Macaca fascicularis: one gene and its partners. The main gene of each other region encodes a partner of the protein of the gene in region 3 in a complex. Links are inferred from orthologs where the notes say so. Each region holds a gene or a part of one and is shown on either strand. Other genes may lie near its edges. The genes, in order: PKN1, MAPK14, MAP3K20, MAP2K3 and NOD2.

Region 1 (4,081 bases), on a different chromosome or scaffold from region 3:
TCCCCCAAAATAAATAAATATAAACAAGTAAATCAATCAGTAAGGACACAGATTCACACCCTGAGCTGCTGACCAGGACGCTTACCAGTAATGACTTCACAGCAGCCCCGCCTGCCAAGTGCTGGCCAGGTCTCGGTCTCTCTCTCCCATGAACACCCTCTTAGTCCCATTTTTCCTAGGTCAGAACCGAGGCTCAGAGAGGCGAAGGCACTGGGCCCAGGACACACAGCAAGGAAGTGTCAGCGTCGGAATTTAAGCCCAGGCTCACCAAATACCACCCTCACTCAGTCAGGCCCCACCCCATCCCCAGCAGGCAGAGGGAGGACACAGCCAAGAGCGGGGTCAGCTCAACTGGGGAAGTCCAGGCAGAGAGGAAAGGTGGCCTCCCTCGGCCCCACCTCCAGCAGCTGAGGTCTGTAATGCAGAGAGGGAGGGAGGCTGGGCTCCTGGGTTCTCCTCCCCTGAGTGACTCACTTCTTCCCAGGGCATACAGGTCACCTGAGGGCCACCAAGGCAAACCCAGGACTCAGGGGCCTGGCCTGGCCTATGGAGAACCCCTGCTCCTCTGCTGCCCACCATGGAGCGGAGACCTCAGACCCAGAGGACCTGCCTCCCAGAATCCCCATCTTGCCAGAGCAGCCAGGGACCTAGACCCCCACATCCGGAGATTTCAATGCCTTGGGCGTTTCCGGAATCTGGACAGGACATCCGTTTGCAGGACACAGAACAGACAGGCACACGTTGGGACAGATAGAGGGACAGGGCGGCAGGCCCAAGCAACCATGAGAGAGGGATGACCAGGAGGAGGGAAGAGACTAAGGAGGAGATGGGAAGGGGGGACCAGGGCGTGGGTCCAGCCTCACTGCAGGAATCACAGCCTGTCTGGGTCATGTGTGGGACGCGCCAAGCGCATGCATGCGCCCGGGGATTCCTACACAGCCCTCCCTGGGCCGGGGGTGGAGGCAGGGACCCCGGCCCATCCCGGCCCTGAGGTCTGACCTTGTGTGATCGGCAACACCAGATACGCCCAGCTCCTCGGCAAGGCCGGCAGGCCATCAGCAGGACTGGGGAGGTGGGAGGGACCGGGGGTTACGGGGGAGACACAGAGGGGCAGGGGGCAGGTGCAGAAGGAGACGAGAACCCAGTTACACAACAGCCACAGGACGATGAACTGGATGGTGAGGTGCAAATGGGGGCACCGAGGCACAGACATTTCTCAGATTTGGGTCACTTGAACCAAAGAAGGTTGGCAGTCACGCTGGCCCTGCTTGTCACAGACGGGGAAGATGAGTCCAGGTCAGTGATACCAACCAGGTGGCACGGGGGAATCTGGCTGGGCAGAAGGCTGGTGCCAGTCACGTGTGTGTGTTAGGAGGGTGGGGGTGACCCAGCCCTGCCCAGCCACCATGCAAAAAAGTAGGATTCTATATATGGGAGCATCCCTGGCCTGTTGACTGAGGCACTCCCCACCCGGGAGAAGGTTCCACCTGACAGTCCAAGAGTAGGAGCGGGGGTCCCCAGTCCCCCGACCTAATGCAGTGACTCGGGTACTTCCGCCAACAGGTGCCAATCTGGGTGGCGTCTGGAACACTATAAAGCTGTCTAGAGGCGGGGGTGGCTGGAGCTTTGTTATGCGGGGGAAGGGCACGGGCCGGGCCCGGCGGCCTCCTCCCCTCCCACGGCACTGCGCCAGGCACCTGCCCCAGGTGGAGCGGCACCTGCCGGGCACCCAACCCTGGGGAGGGGGATGAGTTTGGGGGCGGACGAGAGGCACCGGGACTCCCAGCCAGCCACAGACACCCGAAGTAGAGCCTCCGCCGCGCCCCTTCTAGTTCTCTGGGAGAGGCCGAGTTTGGGGGTGCAGCGGGGGGTGCCTCCGAGATTGCCCCCAAACCAGCCCCGTCCACATCGCCACCTGCCGAGAAGGGGGCCTCGCTGGCTCCACAGTCCCGGCCCAGGGAGGGGGCGCCGGGCGCTCCGGAGGTCCCCGCCCTAGCCATCGCCACCCGAGTCCCGTTCGGGGGGCTGGGGGGCTCCCCCGGGAGCGCGAGGGCGGGGTCCCCTGGAGCCGTCCGGTCGCCCCGGGACTCCAGACGCAGGTGCGCCTACCTGCAAGGCGTCGCTGGCCATGTCCTCCTGCCGCCCGCCAGGGGTCCCCGCGCGGAGGGAGGGGCGGCCAGAGGAGCGCGCGTGCGCCCCGGGCGTGGCGGGGAGGGGGCGGGCGCGGCGCGACCCTCCCCGGCCCGCGGCCCGCTCCGGCCTGCTAGGCTCCCGCCTCGCCTGCCCAGGCCGCCGCGTCCCCGCGCCGCGCCCTCCAGCCCCAGCGGCCGCCGGGCCCGGTCACGTGACCCCGGAGGTCGGCGCCCGGGGAGGGGGCGGGGCCGAGGGGGAGGGGCTCCCAGAGGCCCCCGGGGCTGCGGGGTCCCGCCCGCCCGCCCCCTCAGTCTCCCGAGCTCGGAGCACCCCGATCGGCTCCCCACCTTTCCTCTTTCCGGGTCCTGCGACGACCGCACGCTGCCGAGAGGTCCCCCATTGGAGCGCGCGGGAACCCGAGGAGAACGGTTCCCCGCGTTCAAGCCGAGAGCGGCGGAGGCCTTTGGGCCTCCCAGAACCCCTGAAAAAAAAAAAATAACCCCCCCACCCCACCCCATCCCTGTGCATTTGCAAGCTCGGGACGCCTGCATCTGTGGTCCCCTATTCAAGGGCATGGAAGTTTCCCCGTTACCTGGAGACAAGCTCTGGGCAGATCTGCATTCAAATGCCAGCGCTTTACGCCTTGGGGAAGCCAAATCCTTCCAGGCACCTCATCTGTGAAATGGGAATGATGCGCTCACCTCCTAGGTGTTGGTAAAATTCAATGAGACAGTGCAGGCCAAGAGCTGAGAACACTCTAGACGCTCCATAAGTGTTAGCTGCTGTCACTTTTAATGTTATCGTAATTGTTTGTTGTTTTGCTGTTTTTGGACGGAGTTTCGCTCTATTGCCCATCCTGGAGTGCAGTGGTGCGATCTCGGCTCACTGCAACCTCTGCCCCCCGGGTTCAAGCGATTCTTCTGCCTCAGCCTCCTGAGTAGCTAGGATTACAGATGCCCGCCATCATGCCCGGCTAATTTTTATATTTTTAGTAGAGATGAGGTTTCATCATGTTGGCCAGGCTGGTCTCAAACTCCTGATCAGGTGATCCGCCCGCCTCGGTCTCCTAAAGTGCTGGGATTACACAGGCTTGAGCCACTGCGCCTGACCTCTATTATCGTTATTGTTATTAAAAGAGGTTTGAATCCCAACTCGCTGTTCATCCTGGGAACCCCTGTGGCCTCTGAGTCTCAGTTTTCCACACAATAAAATGGGCACCGCCTTCTTTTTCGGGGCTGCTGCATGCAGATGGCGCTCCATAAATGCAGACTCGTGCCCATGCGGAGAGTGGAGGCCTCTGAGGAATTTCTAGGGGATCTCCGGGGTCTGCAGAGCGTGCAGCTTTGTTTACGGCTGCCGTCGGACCCTCACTCCTTCGGAAACCAGGCGAGGGAGCCAAACCTTGGTCTCCGGGGCTCCGGCGGGGAGCGCTCCCTGGCGGCGGTGTCTGCACATTGGCGCCCTTTGGGACCCGAGGAAGCGCCGTGGGCTGTGGGTACCTTAGCTACGCGTGGCTCTGCGTGGTTTCAGTCGTCCCGGAAACCAGGGCGCGATGTTTTCTCTCTTATTTTTTCATCTGAGCAACTCTTTGGGGGATATTAACAACAGAAAGAGAGAAGGAGGAGAATATTCTGATCTAGAATCCATCCAGCCAGGCATGGTAGCGCATGCCTGTAGTCCCAGCTACCAGGAGGCTGAGGCAGGAGGATCGCTTGAGCTCAAGAGGCCGAGAATGCATCACTGTGGGGAGCAATCATGATGCCCCTGCACTCCAGCCTGGGTGACAGAGCGAGACCTTGTCTAAAAAAAAGAAAGAAAAAAAAATGTCTGGGTGCAGTGGCTCACCCCTATAATCCCAGCCCTTTAGGAGGCCAAGGTGGTGGTGGGTGGATCACTGGAGGTCAGGAGTTCGAGACCAGCCTGGCCAATATGGTGAAACCCGTCTCTA
Region 2 (4,252 bases), on a different chromosome or scaffold from region 3:
TTTGAGACGGAGTCTCGCTCTGTCGCCAAGGCTGGAGTGCAGTGGCGCCATCTTGGCTCGCTGCAAGCTCCGCCTCCCGGGTTTACGCCATTCTCCTGCCTCAGCCTCCCGGTTAGCTGGGACTACAGGCGCCCGCCACCTCGCCCGGCTACTTTTTCGTATTTTTTAGTAGAGACGGGGTTTCACCGTGTTAACCAGGACTTTCTCGATCTCCTGACCTCGTGATCCGCCCGTCTCAGCCTCCCAAAGTGCTGGGATTACAGGCTTGAGCCACCGCGCCCGGCCTCTGCTGGCTTTTATACCACAGAAAAATATACCACTAAAGAAATGTGGAGTTAATTTTAATGGTACTTCACTGTAAATCTGGATCTCCTGTTCCAGTGCAGAGCTAGTCACCAACAGTACTGAACCTTTGCGAGGAATTCAACTGGAGTTCACCCAAACCCTCTATAGATGAGTTATTCTGCTGTTATCACTCCATTAAAATTTAAATAGCATTGAAAACAAAAACGTGATACTACAGAAATGAATGTGTCAATTCAAGAATGAAAAAATGGAAGTATATTAATGAGCTATAAAATATTAAAAGAACAATGATCCAAATACATCTTTGAAAATTAGCAAATCAACTAGATATACATAATATGTATATACTGAATGGATATACATATATTAACATGTATATATCGAATGTAAAATGCTGCAAATCAACTATACACACACACACTCTGAATGTAAAATCCTGCAAATTCCTTTAAAATGTAAACTGCCATGCTGTAAAAATGGGAGAAAGATGTCACGCACGGTGCCATCTGCAACATAACTTAAGCAGCTTGAACTAGAAAATGCAATATGATCTGTTACTGGACACAATTGCACAATCTCAATTACCCAGAAGATTCTACCAAACAGGAAATTCATGATGTGACTTTGGGAAACACAGAAATCATATTTAAAGATTAACACATCCAAAAGCCTGGAATTTGTTCCAAAACAAAAAACTATTTTACAGGCCCCTTTTCAAATGACGCATACAATACGAATTACTAAAACACAGAAAAAGCTAACAGTTAAATCTGATATTTAGTTTCAGATCCGTAGCTTTTAAATTATAGAAAATCTAAAATACAGGGTATAAAACCTTGAAAATTAGAGAGCAGTTAGTGAAATATTTCAGGTCTGGAAATTACATGGTATCGACTTAATTTAAAACACACTCACGGTGTAAATTAAAGCTAAAAAGTATCTCTTCCCTTCCTTTTCTATGTGGTTCCATATCCTTACGAAAACCATCGTGTACCTCAGGCCATAAATGCAGATAACTAGATAAATCCCTGCAAACTCTGAAAGGGACTTTTAAAACACAGTATTCGCAGGAATTATCTCAAAAAATACTTACAATACCTCCTAGCACTGTTAATAATTTTTTGATCTTGAGGGCGCCTTACAGATCTGAATCTTTCTTGCTCCAAATGAAAAAACTGTTTTGTCGAACAATACTTAAATGAGCAGTGGTATGTGACTAATCAGTGAGACTGCCAGTTTCTCAAGCTGCAGCGTTCTTGCAGGCACTACCACCGCCGCCCCTCCACAGAAAGGAAATACGCTTTCAACCGAATCGGAAACACACCACTCAAGCTGGCACAGTGTTCACCGAGATAAAGTCGGTATTTTAAGCTCTATGGATCGCTGCTAATTCAAGTGCGAATTCAAAAAGAACACTTCTCGAGATGGGATTTCGACAGAGGTTTGGGGAAAAAAAAAAAAAAAAAGGCCCGGAGAGAGCTCCCTTCCTGGTCAGTTTTGTTTAGATGACCGCAGTCTTCGGGTTGCGCTCTGCCCTTCTGCTTCTCCCGGCAGCTCCCCAAGCTTGTCTGCTCAGAGGACAGGGTCCGGCGCCACAGCGTGGGCGCATCGCGGGAGAGGGTCCTTCTGCTCCAGGTCCGGAGGGAGACCCCCAAGGAAGCAGCCCTTCCCCCGGTGCCTGCCGCCGAGCAGCAACCTTCCGAGAGGCGAAGGCGCAGGGTGCTAGCCAGAACCGAGCTCCAGCACCACCACCTACCTCTCGCAGCGGACTTGAGCGCTGCACACGGTGGACCGCAATACCCGCGTGAGTGCAGGGCGAGGGGTGCAGGAGGTGCAGAACAGGCAGAGCTCGAAGGGGCAGCAAGGCCCTCCCCCGAGGAAAATTCCTGCCACTTGACGCAACGCAGAGCAGTCGTGCAGGCCTGGCTCTCGGGCGCGAGGGGCCACCCTGCCCACAGCGGCCCCAGGCCCGGCGACACTCACCACACAGAGCCATAGGCGCCGGAGCCCACTGGAGACAGGTTCTGGTAACGCTCGGGCACCTCCCAGATTGTCTTGTTCAGCTCCTGCCGGTAGAACGTGGGCCTCTCCTGAGACATTTTCCAGCGGCAGTCGCCGGGTAAGAAGGTGGCCCTATGGGGCCCCCGCCTGCACCCGCACCCTCTCCCCGGCCCTTGCTGCCCGCCCAGCCGGGCGGGGACCTTGCGCTGGTCGCCCGCGCAGGTGCGGCTGCCGCGACCCCGCAGACTCCCGCGCGCGCGGCTGCTGTCAGCCGCCGCGGCTGGATGCGCCCCTGCGACTGGGGCAAGCCCCGCTAAGGGCAGGGACGCGCTCCGGCGCTCAAGGCTGCGCCTGCCGCGATCTCCCTGCACCTTCGTCCCTACAAGGCCGACTCCGAGCTGCGTCGCAGTACTCCGGATCCAGCTGCTGCGCCCGCTGAGGCTCCAGTGGTCGCGGTTCCACAGCCAGCAAACAGGAGCCTCCCGCAGTACTCTCGCGAGAACTGCTCCCGGGACTCTCCGAGAGCCGAGATTTTACCCAATATGGAACCTCTTCGCGGGCGGGGCTTCGTGAGAGGAGAGGATGAGAGGGGCAGTTCTCGCGAGAAGAGAGCAACAACTGGAGCCCAAAGGCAGAAACTCCCAGGAACTGTCTCCTTAAGGGCGCGAAGGCGGACCAGGGAAGGAAGAGATAAGCGGGCAGCACACGCCGCGCGCGCCCCACCGTGGCCGGCAGGGCAAATACCTGGCTCTGTGGTGGAAAACGACAGTGACAAATAGCGTGTCGGGGAAAGAGTCAAAAGATCTTTAACTGCGAGTAGTTACTAGCAGCGGAGCACCTGCTCAGCTGAACCCCCAAATTCCAAAAAACACTTGCATGAAAAAGAGACAGGTGGCAGGGCGCGGTGGCTCACGCCTGTAATCCCAGCATTTTGGGAGGCCGAAGCGGGCGGATCACCTGAGGTCGGGAGTTCGAGACCAGCCTGACCAAAATGGCGAAACCCCCGTCTCTACTAAAAATGCAAAATTAGCCGGGCGTGGTGGCGCGCACCTGGAGTCCCAGCTACTCGGGAGGCAGAGGCAGGAGAATCGCTTGAACCCGGGAGGTGGAGGTTGTGGTGAGCCGAGATCGCGCCATTGCACTCCAGCCTGGGAAACAGAAGCGAAACTCCGTCTCAAATTAAAAAAAAAAAAAAAAAAAAGTGAGAGACAGGTTCTGGCCAGAAGGCTGTTGCATTCCCATCTGCTCAAGGACATATGGGTTACTCTACATGTGGGTTACTCTTCGAGATGCTGACGAAATATGTCCCAAAGGCAAATGTTAACCCTGCATCAAAGCTGAGGCTTTCCAGGGGCTGGGCGCGGTGGCTCACGCCTGTTATCCCAGCACTTTGGGAGGCCGAGGCGGTCGGATCACGAGGTCAAGAGATAGAGACCATCCTGGCCAACATGGTGAAACCCCGTCTCTACTGAAAAATACAAAAATTAGCTGGGCATGGTGGCTTGAGCCTGTAGTTCCAGCTTCTCGGGAGACTGAGGCAGGAGAATTGCTTGAATCCGGGAGGCGGAGGTTGCAGTGAGCTAAAATCGCGCCACTGCACTCCAGCCTGGCGTCAGAAGGAGACTCCGTCTCAAAAAAAAAAAAAAAAAAAAAAAAAAAAGCTGAGGCTTTCCATTCAAACTCTCCTAATAGTTCTTAAACTTACATGCAGAAAAATCACCCTGGGAGTTTAAGATGCAAGTTCCCAGGACTCACAGGGAGTCTAATTGGGTAGGTCAGAGGAAGGCATCAAGAGCATGTATTTTTATAATACATCTTAGGTAATTCTGATTCAGGAAAGTCTGATATCTCCCTTTGAGAAGCATTTAAAAAACCATTACACTGAAGATTTGAAACTGACTCCTACCCTGAAGAGCCATCAGTGAAGAGGATTTTAAGCATTCAA
Region 3 (4,135 bases):
ATCTCTCCGCTTTCGTATCTTTAACCTATCGAATGACTTACAAATTTTCTATTTCACTCTTGACCTCTTTTCTGAATTTCAGTTTCATATTTCAGTTGCTGCATCTCTACCTGTTTTTACTTCTATGACCTCAAACTCAACATGAAGCCAGCTTCCCTTTCACGTATTCCTATTCCTGTCAATGACACCATCATTCTTCCAGTCATCCAGGTCTGAAATCTTGGCATCACCTCTCCTCTTCTTCTCTTCTAAATCTTGCCGCTTCTCTTCTAAATCTTGTGGGTTACCAATTTCTGTGCCCTCTTGCTGAAATATTTAATATTTCTCTCAATTCCATTTCTTCTTGTTTTTTTTTTTTTTTTTTTTTTTTTTAAAGACAGAGTCTCACTCTCATCCAGGCTGGAGTGCAGTGATGCGATTGTGTTTCACTTCAGACTCGACTTCCCCAGCTCAAGCGATTCTCCCACCTCAGCCTCCCAAGTAGCTGGGACTATAGATGCGTGGCACCACACCGGGCTAAGTTTTTGATTTTTTTAGAGATGAGGTCTCACTATGTTACCCAGTCAGTTCTCAAGTGATCCCCTCAGCTTGATCTCCCAAAGTGCTGGGATTACAAGCACCACACCCAGCCCATTTCTTTTTTTTAATTCCATTTCCTACACCCTAACTCAGGTCCTCATGATCCCACAACCGGGTGGTGACAATATCTACCACTCATCCTGGTCCCATCCTAGCAACCCAAGCTACAACTACTGTGGACTACTCTCTCAAAATTACAGTTTAAACAAAAACACAAACACCCATTTCACCCCTTTGATTCTAATTTTTCACTGCTCCCCGGTGTCCATGGATAATAAAATTCAAATCCAAACTCCTGGATAATGTTGCCTATGCCTTGCCACCTCCTCGCACTTTTCCTTCACAAAACCATCCTCCCCAATCAGAAATTTCTTTTCTTCCCAACGCCCACCTCTACCTTTGGCTTAGGCCTGTAATGGACTCTGGTTCCTCATCTGAACTCTGCTCTGTTAAAGTTACCAACTACAGCAGCGGACCACGGCCCCTCCTCAAAATTCCAGAGGTACCTACTGATCTTTCTAGGGAGGCAGCCTTCAGACCTGTGTTCCCAGAAATCTCTACGTTTGTCCCTTTCCCAACTAGAGAATTAACTCTTGCAGGGCACAAAACAGCCTCTATTTCTTTGCGTCCCCCGCGCCTGTTTGTTGAAGACTGAGTTGAAGGAGTAGCAGGTGGTGTTAACTCGTCAAAAAGATGGTGGCCAGGGGGAACACCCCCACAGCTCTCCCCCGACAGCAGGGCAGGTGTGCCTGGGGGCCTCGGCGGGTGCCGGGGCGCGGGGCGGATGGTGCCCCCGGGCGCAGGCCAGGGAGGCCCAAGCGCCTTCCCCACGCCCCGCTCGCCCGCGCGTGTGAGGGGAGGGCTGCCCGGCCGTTCCGCGCCGGGAGGTAGGTGGTGCTGTTGCCGTGACTGTCTTCCTCATTGGCGCCGGGCAGAGAGGCGGAATGTTCAACTCCTGACTCCGGCGGAAGCGTGGGAGCCGCGCGGGCCGCTGTCGTTCCAACCCCCGCCGCCCTCGTCGCGCGCGGGGCCTCCGCGCCCCCGGCTGCTGCTCGCGCCCGGCCTGGGAGCCAGGTAGGGTCCAGGCTGGAGCCCGCGGAGGGCGGGGAGGGAGGGGGCGAGGCCCGCCGCGCTCGCGAGTCGTCCTCGCGTCTTGGGGCCGAGGTTCCGCCGGGGCCCGGGAGTCCAGGCGGCCTCTGGATGCTACTTGGGGCTCCTCTCCCTGACCCAGGACCCGCGCGGCGGCGGCGGCGGCCGGAGCGAGCATTCGCCGCGCCGGAGGAGTCCTCGCGGGACCTCGGCCGCGGCGCCGCCAAGTGCGGTTCGGGAAAGTTCGGGCCAGTCCCACGGAGAAGTTGGTGCCTGGAGGCGCGGGGCGCAGGCCGGAGCGGCTCGGGATTCCGCGGCCCTGGGCGTGCGGCACGGGCAGGGGCTCTGCAAACAGGAGAGCCGGCCAAGCAGCGGGTGGTTGGGGCACTGTCGGGAGGGGAACCGCGAGGCCCCCAAATCAGGGCAGGATGCAGGCCACTTCCCAGCACTCGCTGTGCGTGCGAGGAGGGACGACGAACTTCTGCTTTTCTAAGAACTCGGCCGCTAGCGGTGTTGCTTTCCATCCATTTTCTTTCATTCTGTTTTCCTCACGTAATTAGGCCATGCGAATAACCAGCAGGAACAATGAACACTAAAGATTAGTTTTACAAACATGCGTAAATGTATCCAGAGCCACCCAGAGCCGCCGCTCCCCGCCCTTCCTTCGCCGGGCTTGGGCAGCGTGGCGCGCCCGCCCTCTCGGGCTTCCCCCTTTCCTCCCACCGGAGCCCGGGTTGTCCCCTTTGGCGACCCTCAGGCAGCCGTCTTTTTGTGGGCTCCCAGACCTGCACCAGGCCGAGAAGTACTTACCCAGGCCGCCGCCTCGCCTGGCCTCGCTTGCCCATGACAGCTTTCAGAAAACTTTAATTCAGGACTGGCTAGATAACATCCGATTGCCTAAAAAAAATTTTTAAAAAGATTATCTCTGTTAGATCGCCGAAAATGTTAATGTTTCTGATGCGCTTTGAGATCGCGCATAAGCACTGTTTATGGGGAACTTAATTACTATTTTTGTTAGTTTCTGTAATAATGAAAGCAACACAATTTAGGGGCCCATTCCAAGTATAGTACAGTAAGCAGCTCATTAATAATGGTGTGTGAGAATCGTCTTACAGAGTGAATTTGAGGATATTTGAATTAAGATTGTTGAAAACAGTACCTACTTTAACCCCAAAGCTGTTTTAGGAGAGACTTCTTGTTTCCCTGACCTTCCTTGAAATTAACAGCTAGGATTTAGTGGATCCAAACCTCCAAACACGTTTAAAGACAAAAATAAACAAGTGATTCAAGGCTAATGTCCTCCTTGTAGTAGGCCTCTCTCCACAGTGAAATTTCACTTGTTTTTCAATTTTCAAAAAAAAAAAAAAAAAAAGTGATGGCTGCATTTTAATTATGTTTATGGTCATTTGCAGAGTCTTTGTTTTAAATTCCTGCTACTATAGTGAGAGATTTAGGAGACTGTAAATGAATACGAATTTAGTTTGGGAATAGAGAATTAAGATAAAAATAGTCTTTTGGACCCCTGCAATGTTTATTTTAATCTTTCACAATTTAATTCCTATAACTTTTTGAGATTATTTGGGGGAGTTTTTTAACTGCAAAATATTGTTGTTTAAATAAAAAAATTTAGTGATAATAATTCCAGAGTAAATGACCATGATGCAATTGCAAGGACTTTCTTGTCTAAAAAAGCAAATAAATGATTGATCTGTTTTTCTTATTCTTTTAGGGAATATATAAGGACACAGTAAAGAGAGGGAAAGAGAGAAAAATATCCAAATATTAAACATGCGGACTTGGATCTAAAAATGGATGGTCAAAGATCTTGGGAACTAAGGGGCCTTCTTGCCAAATAAGGAAACTTGGCAAGTTGCACTGTGTATTTTAACTTAGCACAAGAGTGAGTGTTATTGGCAATATATTGGCTCAGAGCCTATCAGGAATGAGCAGTGAAACTGACTTCGACAGGGCTACAAAATTATAAATAGGAGGTATGAGGGGTGTGGAGTGAATAATCCAGTCATCAGAGAAAACACTGAAGAAATTATAATGATGTTTCATGAAAAGAAGTCAGATGTAAGGTGAAGCTATTGGTGTGGAGTGAAAGCAAAATGGACAGTTTATTTTAGAAATTGGTAGATTCAGAAGAGATGAATCAATGTTTTTTGTTTGTTTGTTTGTTTGTTTTTCTTAAACTGGAAAAAGGTGTTGTAGGGATATAGTGCTTCTTGGAATAAGATAGCTCTATGTCTGTATCCTGAGACGTTGAAAATAAAAATGAATTTAGATCACTTGTTTTCCATTTTATTCTACCCAGGACAGATTGACAGGGTGAGTGTCTTGTCTATCTAAATGTAATATGAACAGTTAAGGCCCCTTTTGGTCTTACTGCAAGGAAGATTTAGGCTAGTCTTTTGGCAGCTATTAACTTTGCCTCAGTAGACACAAATAAGCAGAGTTCCAGCTG
Region 4 (3,510 bases), on a different chromosome or scaffold from region 3:
CCCTCTTGTGTACCCCGCACCAAAGCCGGGATAGAGGTGTGGCCACCCTGGGCCAAAGTGTGCAAAGTCCATTCAGTCAAGAGATTAAAAAAATATACAACTTGGCTGGCATCCAGGCTGGGCAAGGCAGTGGCCCATTCACCCAGGCACCAGCGGCCTGCTGTGCAAGGGGCAGCAGCATCCACAGGGGGCATCCAGGCCCCCTCAGTCCAGGATCTCAGCAGCTGGAGACGGGTCCTTGGAGCAGCAGGGAGAGGCACTGGTGGGGCCGACAAGGGCCTGGCTGGCAGCCCTGATGGTCTGCTTCTTTGGCACTTGGGACAAATGGCTCGCTGCAGAGTCAGGTGGGAACAGGCCCCTTGGTTCCTCCCAGGTGCCCTGGGCCAGGATGGCAGTAGCTTATGGTGTGGGTGAGCACTGCCCCCGCAGATGGGGCTGTGGGGCTCTGGAGGGCCGGAGTGGGGTCCGAGGCCCAGCCCCTATGAGTCTTCGCCCAGGATCTCCTTCACGAAGGCAGCGATGTCTGTCTTCTTGGTTTTGTGCAAGGTGAAGAAGGGGTGCTCCTGGGGGTGACAGAAGGCACAGTCACCATGGAGGGGGTAGCGGGAGGGGGAGGTGGCCACTCCTCCCCAACCAGCTCCAGCCCAAGTGTTCCTCCTGACTGGCAAAATCCTACTCATCCTTCTAGGACCTCCACCCCCAGGAGGCCCTCCATGACAGTCACGATGGCATTTGTGGCTCCTCCTCAGCTCTCTTGTGGTCACTCTCCAGCCACACTGACCTCCCTTTTCCCCGACACGTCAGGCCTCTGCCCATGCTGGACCTTCTGCTTGGGACGCCTCTCCGTCAGCAGATAACCCTTATTCATCCTTCCAGGCTCAGTTCAAATGGTCCCTCCTCCATGAAGCCTTCCCTGATGCCACCCTTGGCCCCTCTGCCCCATTCTGTCACACACTGCCTGTGTATCCTTCCCAGGGCCTGGCATGCAGGAAGGAGGGAGGAGGGAGCCAGGCATGCAGGAGCAAACAAATGACCGAGCACCTAAAGGAGTGAACACAGGGCCAGCCGGAGGAGCTACCCATCTGTGTGCAGGACGTAGCCCTCTGCCCAGAGCCCCACTCAGCCCCAGCCAGCCCCGAAGAGCAAGGCAGGCACCTCCCGCCCGTACTCACCATCAGCTCCAGGTAGCTCATACGCTCTGCGGGGTTCTTCCTCAGGCTAGGAGAGAAGAGTGCAGCTGTGGCCAGGCGGGCAGGTAGGAAGGAAGCCCAGCCCCCGAGGGCCAGCCAAGCCACTCTGGGATTGCCCCAGGCCTGGCAGCAGGGGACACGTGCACCCAGGGAAGAAGGGACAGGAGTGTCCAGGGCTTCTCCCAGGGTGGAGGGGCATTCATAGGGGCAAACTAGAGACTCGCAGCAAGTTTCTGGCTCTTGGGGTCCTGGTTTTCTTGTCTCCATAGTGACCTAGGAATTTCCATATCAACACCAAAATGGGACTGCAATGTTCTGCCTAACAAGCATATACTCGGTATCCTCAGTCAGGAGAGAAAACTCCTTATCATGGGTTCTGGGAGAGGTTAGTCCCCAGTTAAAGGGGTCAGACTGCCCAGGGACACTGCTGGGCTCCTCTGTTGCTGATTATGGTCAACAACAAAAGTGCTGGGACCATGGGTGTGAGCCACCGCACCCGGCCGCTTCTTCCTTACCCATTTCTTGCTCTGTTTAATTATGGTCAGAGAAGTTGGTCTGTATGACTTTGCCTTCTTCCTTAGTCCCTCTGTAACCTCAAACATGATTTTTTTTTTTAAGAGAGAATCTCGCTCTGTCGCCCATGCTGGAGTGCAGTCGCATGATCTCGGCTCAGGCTCACTGCAACCTCTGGCTCCTGGGTTCAAGCGATTCTCGTGCTTCAGCCTCCTGAGTAGCTGGGATTACAGGCGTACACCACCATGCCTGGCTAATTTTTCTATTTTTAGTAGAGACAGCGTTTCCCCATGTTGATCAGGCTGGTCTCCAACTCCTGACCTTGTAATCCGCCCGCCTCAGCCTCTCAAAGTGCTGGGATTACAGGCATGAGCCACCGCACCCAGCCTCTCAAACATGATTTTTATAAGGCTCCTGTGGGGCATTCTTTAATTTGGTACAAAGTTCTAGATATCAGTAAAAGCAAACTTGTTTTTTGTGTTCAAATCTTCCATACACTTTGTTCTCTTTTCAGTCTGTCTGATTTGTCCACTTCTGGAAGAACTATATTAAAATCTCCCACCAGGACCATCGTTTTGTCAAATGCGCCTCATGCTCCAGCTGTTTCTGCCTTACATATTTCGATGCCATGTCATCTGGGGGGTTATTTGCAAAAACAAAAAGGAACAGGGCCCAGGAAGGTGCAGGGATCTGGCCAGGGAGGGGCAGTGACAGGTGCTCAGCAGCACCCAAGACTCACCACTGAGCAGTGAAGTCCACAAACTCGGGGGAGAAACGGTCGGCTGGGAGCTGGGGGGACGGCTCCTCCACCACCTGCTTCAGCTGCTGGAACGGGGTCCCCCAGGACTCGTAAGGGAACCGCAGGATGGCCATCTCAATCTGCAGTGGTGACATGGGGGGTCAGAGGCCCTGGCCCCAGATACACCCACGCTCTGCACCCAGGAGCCAGGGTTGGGGGCTCCCACCCATCCTGGTCCCGGAGCCAGGCCTCAAAGCTGCACAGCTCATCTCCCTATCACAGCCCAGCAGGACAAAGGCAAGAAAGCTCTTAGCTCCTCCCACCCAGCCAGCAGGACCCAGCTCAGGAAGCAGATCAGGCCGACGCCGGGACTGGTGGGACCATCACTGGGTTTTCAGACAACCTGAATTCTGAAGATTTTACAAAACAATGCAGGTTCCAGCTGCTCTGGAGAAATCTGAGGAGGTGGCAACCTCGGGCCGCAGCCTCGTGAGCCAGGTGGGCAGGTCCCAGGTGGTCACAGCCATTCCCCGCCCTAACATCTGACCATCTCAGACTTCAGCATCTGCTGTCATTTATTTGGGCTGCTGTTTTCACAGAGGAGGCACACGGGAAATGCTACACACACACACACACACACACACACACACACACACACACACACACACACAGCTGTCCCCAAGGCCACAGACAGACTGTGAGACCATAAGGTTGCTTCGCCTCTGCACCCGTGAGCCTGCAGCCTCATCTTCTGCAGGGCCCCGGCAGTTTCCCTCCTAGACAAGTGGCCTGTGTGGCCACATGTGCCCTGCTGGATCCGGATTTCCTGTGGGTGACATCGGGCCGGTAGGTCTCTGTACTCGCTGCAAACTCCCAGCCCTGTGTCCTCCCTGTGGTTGGCAAGAAGTCATCATGGAAGGGACGGACTAGCTAGGACTAGTCTGGGCTCCAGTCATGACGACTGGATGGAAAAAACAAGTCATGTCAGCCCTGGTTCCAGCCTGGAAGGACAGAGAATTCCGAGGCTCCAGCACAAGGGCCCTCGCTGATGGCCGTCCTCACCATGAT
Region 5 (4,083 bases), on a different chromosome or scaffold from region 3:
GTGTGAAGATTGGCAGCCTGATTTCGTCACATTCGTACTGGCTGACGAAACCCCGCTCTCGTGCCAGGTCCAGCACGCCCTCCACATGGCTGTGGAGCCTCCTGACAATGGCTGGCCGGTGACTCTGCAGGTCTTGGGCTGGGTGGAGCGAGTGGGGGTCCCAGCAGCCATGCAGCTTGGGGGATTGGCTGTCGGCCTGGGCTTCCTGGGCAGCAGCGACAAGTTTCTGACAGGCCCAAGTACCCTTATTCCAGACGGTGTCCAGGAGGCGCCTGGCCAAGTGGGAGAGAGGCTGGCCCAGGAGGTGGATGCCCTCGTAGTCTTCCCAGGAGAGGACCTCCCAGGACAGCAGCCAGTCCAGGACACTCTCGAAGCCCTCCAGGGACCCTGAGACCAGCAGCTCCACCAGCTGACTCCTCTGTGCCTGAAAAGCCTCCTGCGAGCACATTTCACAACCTGGGGAGGAGAACAAGGTCAGTGCAGGACTTCTCCAGAAGCCAGACGCGGGGTGGCTGGGGAAGGCCAGGGCAAGTCAGCCCCAGCAGAACCCGAGTTGGCCATGGTTCTAGCCTCAGACATTACCCAATCCAAGCTCCCCACCATACAGATGTGAAAATTGAGACCCAGAGAAGGCAAGAAACACCTCAAGGTCCCACAGAGAGTTTGAAGCAACCAAGAATTAAATCAAGACCCCTAACTCCCACATCCATGCTTGGTCTCCGGCTTAAAACATTTAAAAAGGCTTGAGGTAATATGAGGAGCAAGAGATCTCCCAAGGTCACTTGAGATCAGGAGTTCCAGACCAGCCTGGCCAACACGGTAAAACCCTTTCTCTACTAAAAATACAAAAATTAGCCAGGCGTGGTGTGGGCACCTGTAATCCCAGCTACTCAGGAGGCTGAGGTAGGAGAATCACTTGAACCCGGGAGGCAGAGGTTGCAGGCTGCACTCCAGCCTGGGCAACAGAGCAAGACCCTGTCTCAAAAAAATAATAATAAAAATGTAAAAAGTAGAGAGAGAGAAAGAGAGATCTTCCGAGCAGTCAGGGAATTCATTCTCTTCAAAGCAGGGTGAGAGGGACTCCACACTGGCCGGATTCACGCTACAGCAGTTTCAGTAATGGCTAATATTAATTAAGCATAAACAACACACCAGGCGCCATTCTAAGTGCTCTCCTGCGTGAATTCACTGAACCCTCCCAGCCACTCTGAAGTAGTGCCTATGATCTGCCCATTTTACAGAGGAAGACACTGAGGCACCGAGAGGCTCAGCGATTTGTACGACATGTCACAGCTAGACAGGCAGAGTCAGGATTTCAACACAAGCTGTGTGCAACTCCAGAATGCATGTCTCTAACTCTTACATTTGGGTTCCCCACGGGGGCCCCAAGCCCTTGCTGTGTGTTTTGCACACTGCTACTCCAAGGGGTACACTCAGAATATTGTTCTAAAGGTCCTATCCTAGGCTAAGTGAAAAATTACGGTGCAAACTAAGTTGTTTCCAAGCGTTCTCGTGCCTTGTCCCCCATCAACACTTCCCCCACACACTTGCCCTAGGGCCCTCACCTCCCTCCCACGCCCTCGAAACCACCGTGCACAGACTGCTGCTGCTGCTACCGTTAGCCACCTGCTGTGGGTTCTGGGAATTTGAGGGCAAGTAACCCTCCAGGAGCTTCAAGCCCTGGGAGGATCTCTGAGCAGCTGAGAAAATCTCTCAGCATGGTTAGTTCTGCGATTGTCGTGGGGTCTGTGGACAAGGGCTGGTGCAGTGCCTCGAAGAAACGAAAGTGAAAGGGTGTAGGCATGGACAACAAAGAGAGCCGTCGGCTTCTTTTTATAAATCAGGGACATTCCCAGCCACTCGAGGGAGTAGACGCCAAGCGGCCTGGGGATTTTGCCTCTTTGCTGATGGTTGTTTATGTGTCTCTCTCCCTGCCTGGGTCACGTGGAAGCCTGGGTCTTACTCGTCCTAGCATCCCTGAGCCTGGCACGGCACTGTCCCCCGCAGAGACACCGTGGAAATGTTCATGAATCAAATATCCCCTGGGCTGGGGGTGGGAGGAACACTGTAACCATCCTCATACGGCAGCCAAGGTAAGCAAAAGGAAAAACCTCCAATCTCTCAGAACGCTGCTGGGGCACAGGAGGCCCTGTGCTGGTCAGATGGGGAAACGGAGGCAATGAGGTTATGTGTGTGTCTGGCTGCTTGGGAGAGAGAGTGTCCCCCCCCTGCACAGGCCACTGGAATCCAGGAACTAAGGTAGTTCTCTCAGGCCAAGGAGGTCTCCTCCCCGTGCTCACCTCTAAGCAGAGGAGCCAAGAGGGTGGGGTGGCGGGGGACGGGGGAAGAGAGGACCAAAAGGGGGTAGAATAAGCTCTGGGCTTGGCCCTGGAGTGGTTCTCAGCTGTGGAAACATCAGCCAAGGACGCGACAGCAGCCCCCACCATCACCCCTGCCAGGGTCCTGGGGAAAATAACCACCCACCCACTCTCCCCAGAAAACAGCCCAGAGACACAGTCAGCACTCCCCATCTCACCCCAGGCCTGGGAGCATGCGCGCAGCCAGGGATGAAAGAAGGCTGAGAGTCAAGCTGAGACAGGACAATGCCTGCTCCTCTTACCCAGAAAATGTCCGAGGAGGACACTTGCTCTTTCCTCCTCATCGGGAGAGACTGGACCACCCCCTCTTCCCCCATCAAAGCCCATTAGGCTTGGGGAGCAGGCATGGCATCTGTGGGTGGGCCTTGTGCAGAACACCAAAAGCCCAGCGGCACAGGACTGGTGAGCCTGGATCTGTCTACCAACCCCACCTTCAAGGGAAATTCCCAAAGGAAAAGCCAGAGGCCAGAGTTGGCCAACCAGCCTTCCAGAACTAGGTAATTCCAGGCAATTCTGGCACAAAGCCTTGTGCATCCTGGAGACCATGACCCTCCCTGAAAAACCCCACTGGGGACATGAGACACATTCACGAGGGGACAGGCCACAAGTAAGTAGGGGCCCCTCCCTAGCACACCAAGCCTAGGGCAGCCTGGCCTACGTGTGAGCCATACACACCCCGGCTAGTGACGTCGGGCTTCTGTGGGCACCAGGAAGGGGAGGGCCGCCCAAGTCACGTGACTCGGAGCTCTGTCCTCCCAGCAGCTGCATCACCGCACCTCTGCCCTGGCCTTCTTCCAGAAACCTCAGAGCAAAAAGAATCCTGAGGGCCAATTCAGCCAGTCCCCTGTCTCTGAGCAGGCATTGTCCTGTCTCATATTAAACATCCGGAGAGGAGGGCCTGGCCTTAGTGCTGTCCTCACTAACCAGCTCAGGAAGCTCACCAGCTTGGGAATTTATTCATTATGTCTAGCTTCAGTTTCTCCTGCTTCAGTTTAACTTGGGAAAGAGACAGAAAAAATATTCACTCATTATCTGTTTCCTAAAAATTGTCCTTCACATCCTTCCTCTTACCCCTTTATTACCTGATCGGGCTTCCCCTCTTCAGGCAAAATCTATTAGTCTATCTGCATTGCCTTTTGATCTCTACTTCAGTTACTACAACTTCAAAGACACCATTGTCCTCCCCAAGGTGAGGCCCATGTAGAGAAAGGAGCACTTCCTTGCTGAAAGAGAGGGTCAAGGAGCGACCCACAAGGGCCCTCCCTGAAACCCAGGCCCAGGCCTGAGCCTTGGACAGCTCCTTCCTTCCTGAGACCACAGCCAACCTGGTTTCTCTGGGGCCAAGAGCAAATGCTTTGCTTAAGTGCTGAAATCTCAGTCCACTGACCCCTTGCAGACAGGAGAGGAAGGGAAGCCCAGGGAAGCGCAACTTCCCAAGTATCCCGGGTCTCTGCTGGGGCCAAGCGCCCCCACCCTCCCCCAGCCATCCTGCATTCTCCCTCCCCGGCACTGAACTTCTCTTCCTAAGAGACCAATTCCCCCCACCAGTGCACAATGCACTATATTCTCCATTGTAAAAGTAAAGCCCTCTCTTGACACCCACTTTCTTCATTTGGCTCCAATCCCATTTATCTGCTCCCCTTTATAGCAGACCCCCTTGTCTATTGCCTGTACTGCTGTCCCCAAGTCCTCCCATCCCCTCCCT

Evidence for each region.
Region 1: MAP3K20 (region 3) and PKN1 share a complex: the UniProt entries of both Homo sapiens proteins name them as parts of the signaling complex. The link is inferred for Macaca fascicularis from reciprocal best matches to the Homo sapiens genes MAP3K20 and PKN1.
Region 2: MAP3K20 (region 3) and MAPK14 share a complex: the UniProt entries of both Homo sapiens proteins name them as parts of the signaling complex. The link is inferred for Macaca fascicularis from reciprocal best matches to the Homo sapiens genes MAP3K20 and MAPK14.
Region 4: MAP3K20 (region 3) and MAP2K3 share a complex: the UniProt entries of both Homo sapiens proteins name them as parts of the signaling complex. The link is inferred for Macaca fascicularis from reciprocal best matches to the Homo sapiens genes MAP3K20 and MAP2K3.
Region 5: MAP3K20 (region 3) and NOD2 share a complex: the UniProt entries of both Homo sapiens proteins name them as parts of the signaling complex. The link is inferred for Macaca fascicularis from reciprocal best matches to the Homo sapiens genes MAP3K20 and NOD2.

Annotation. Positions count from the first base shown.
Region 1 is NC_088393.1:14,864,450-14,868,530, reverse strand, and holds the start of PKN1 (serine/threonine-protein kinase N1), read right to left. Parts: upstream 2,811-4,081; 5' UTR 2,709-2,810; coding exon 2,481-2,708; intron 2,330-2,480; exon of another isoform or gene 2,131-2,329; coding exon of another isoform or gene 2,110-2,130; intron 1,916-2,109; exon of another isoform or gene 86-1,915; intron 1-85. UniProt on the Homo sapiens protein: PKC-related serine/threonine-protein kinase involved in various processes such as regulation of the intermediate filaments of the actin cytoskeleton, cell migration, tumor cell invasion and transcription regulation.
Region 2 is NC_088378.1:135,643,550-135,647,801, forward strand, and holds the start of MAPK14 (mitogen-activated protein kinase 14), read right to left. Parts: upstream 2,803-4,252; 5' UTR 2,406-2,802; coding exon 2,290-2,405; intron 2,174-2,289; exon of another isoform or gene 2,063-2,173; intron 1-2,062. UniProt on the Homo sapiens protein: Serine/threonine kinase which acts as an essential component of the MAP kinase signal transduction pathway.
Region 3 is NC_088386.1:68,609,479-68,613,613, forward strand, and holds the start of MAP3K20 (mitogen-activated protein kinase kinase kinase 20), read left to right. Parts: upstream 1-1,330; 5' UTR 1,331-1,466; intron 1,467-1,486; exon of another isoform or gene 1,487-1,653; intron 1,654-2,478; exon of another isoform or gene 2,479-2,565; intron 2,566-2,831; exon of another isoform or gene 2,832-2,892; intron 2,893-4,135. UniProt on the Homo sapiens protein: Stress-activated component of a protein kinase signal transduction cascade that promotes programmed cell death in response to various stress, such as ribosomal stress, osmotic shock and ionizing radiation.
Region 4 is NC_088390.1:20,741,068-20,744,577, reverse strand, and holds part of MAP2K3 (dual specificity mitogen-activated protein kinase kinase 3), read right to left. Parts: intron 2,583-3,510; coding exon 2,443-2,582; intron 1,219-2,442; coding exon 1,173-1,218; intron 564-1,172; coding exon 480-563; 3' UTR 1-479. UniProt on the Homo sapiens protein: Dual specificity kinase. Is activated by cytokines and environmental stress in vivo. Catalyzes the concomitant phosphorylation of a threonine and a tyrosine residue in the MAP kinase p38.
Region 5 is NC_088394.1:46,655,257-46,659,339, reverse strand, and holds the start of NOD2 (nucleotide-binding oligomerization domain-containing protein 2), read right to left. Parts: upstream 2,802-4,083; 5' UTR 2,706-2,801; coding exon 2,621-2,705; intron 457-2,620; coding exon 1-456. UniProt on the Homo sapiens protein: Pattern recognition receptor (PRR) that detects bacterial peptidoglycan fragments and other danger signals and plays an important role in gastrointestinal immunity.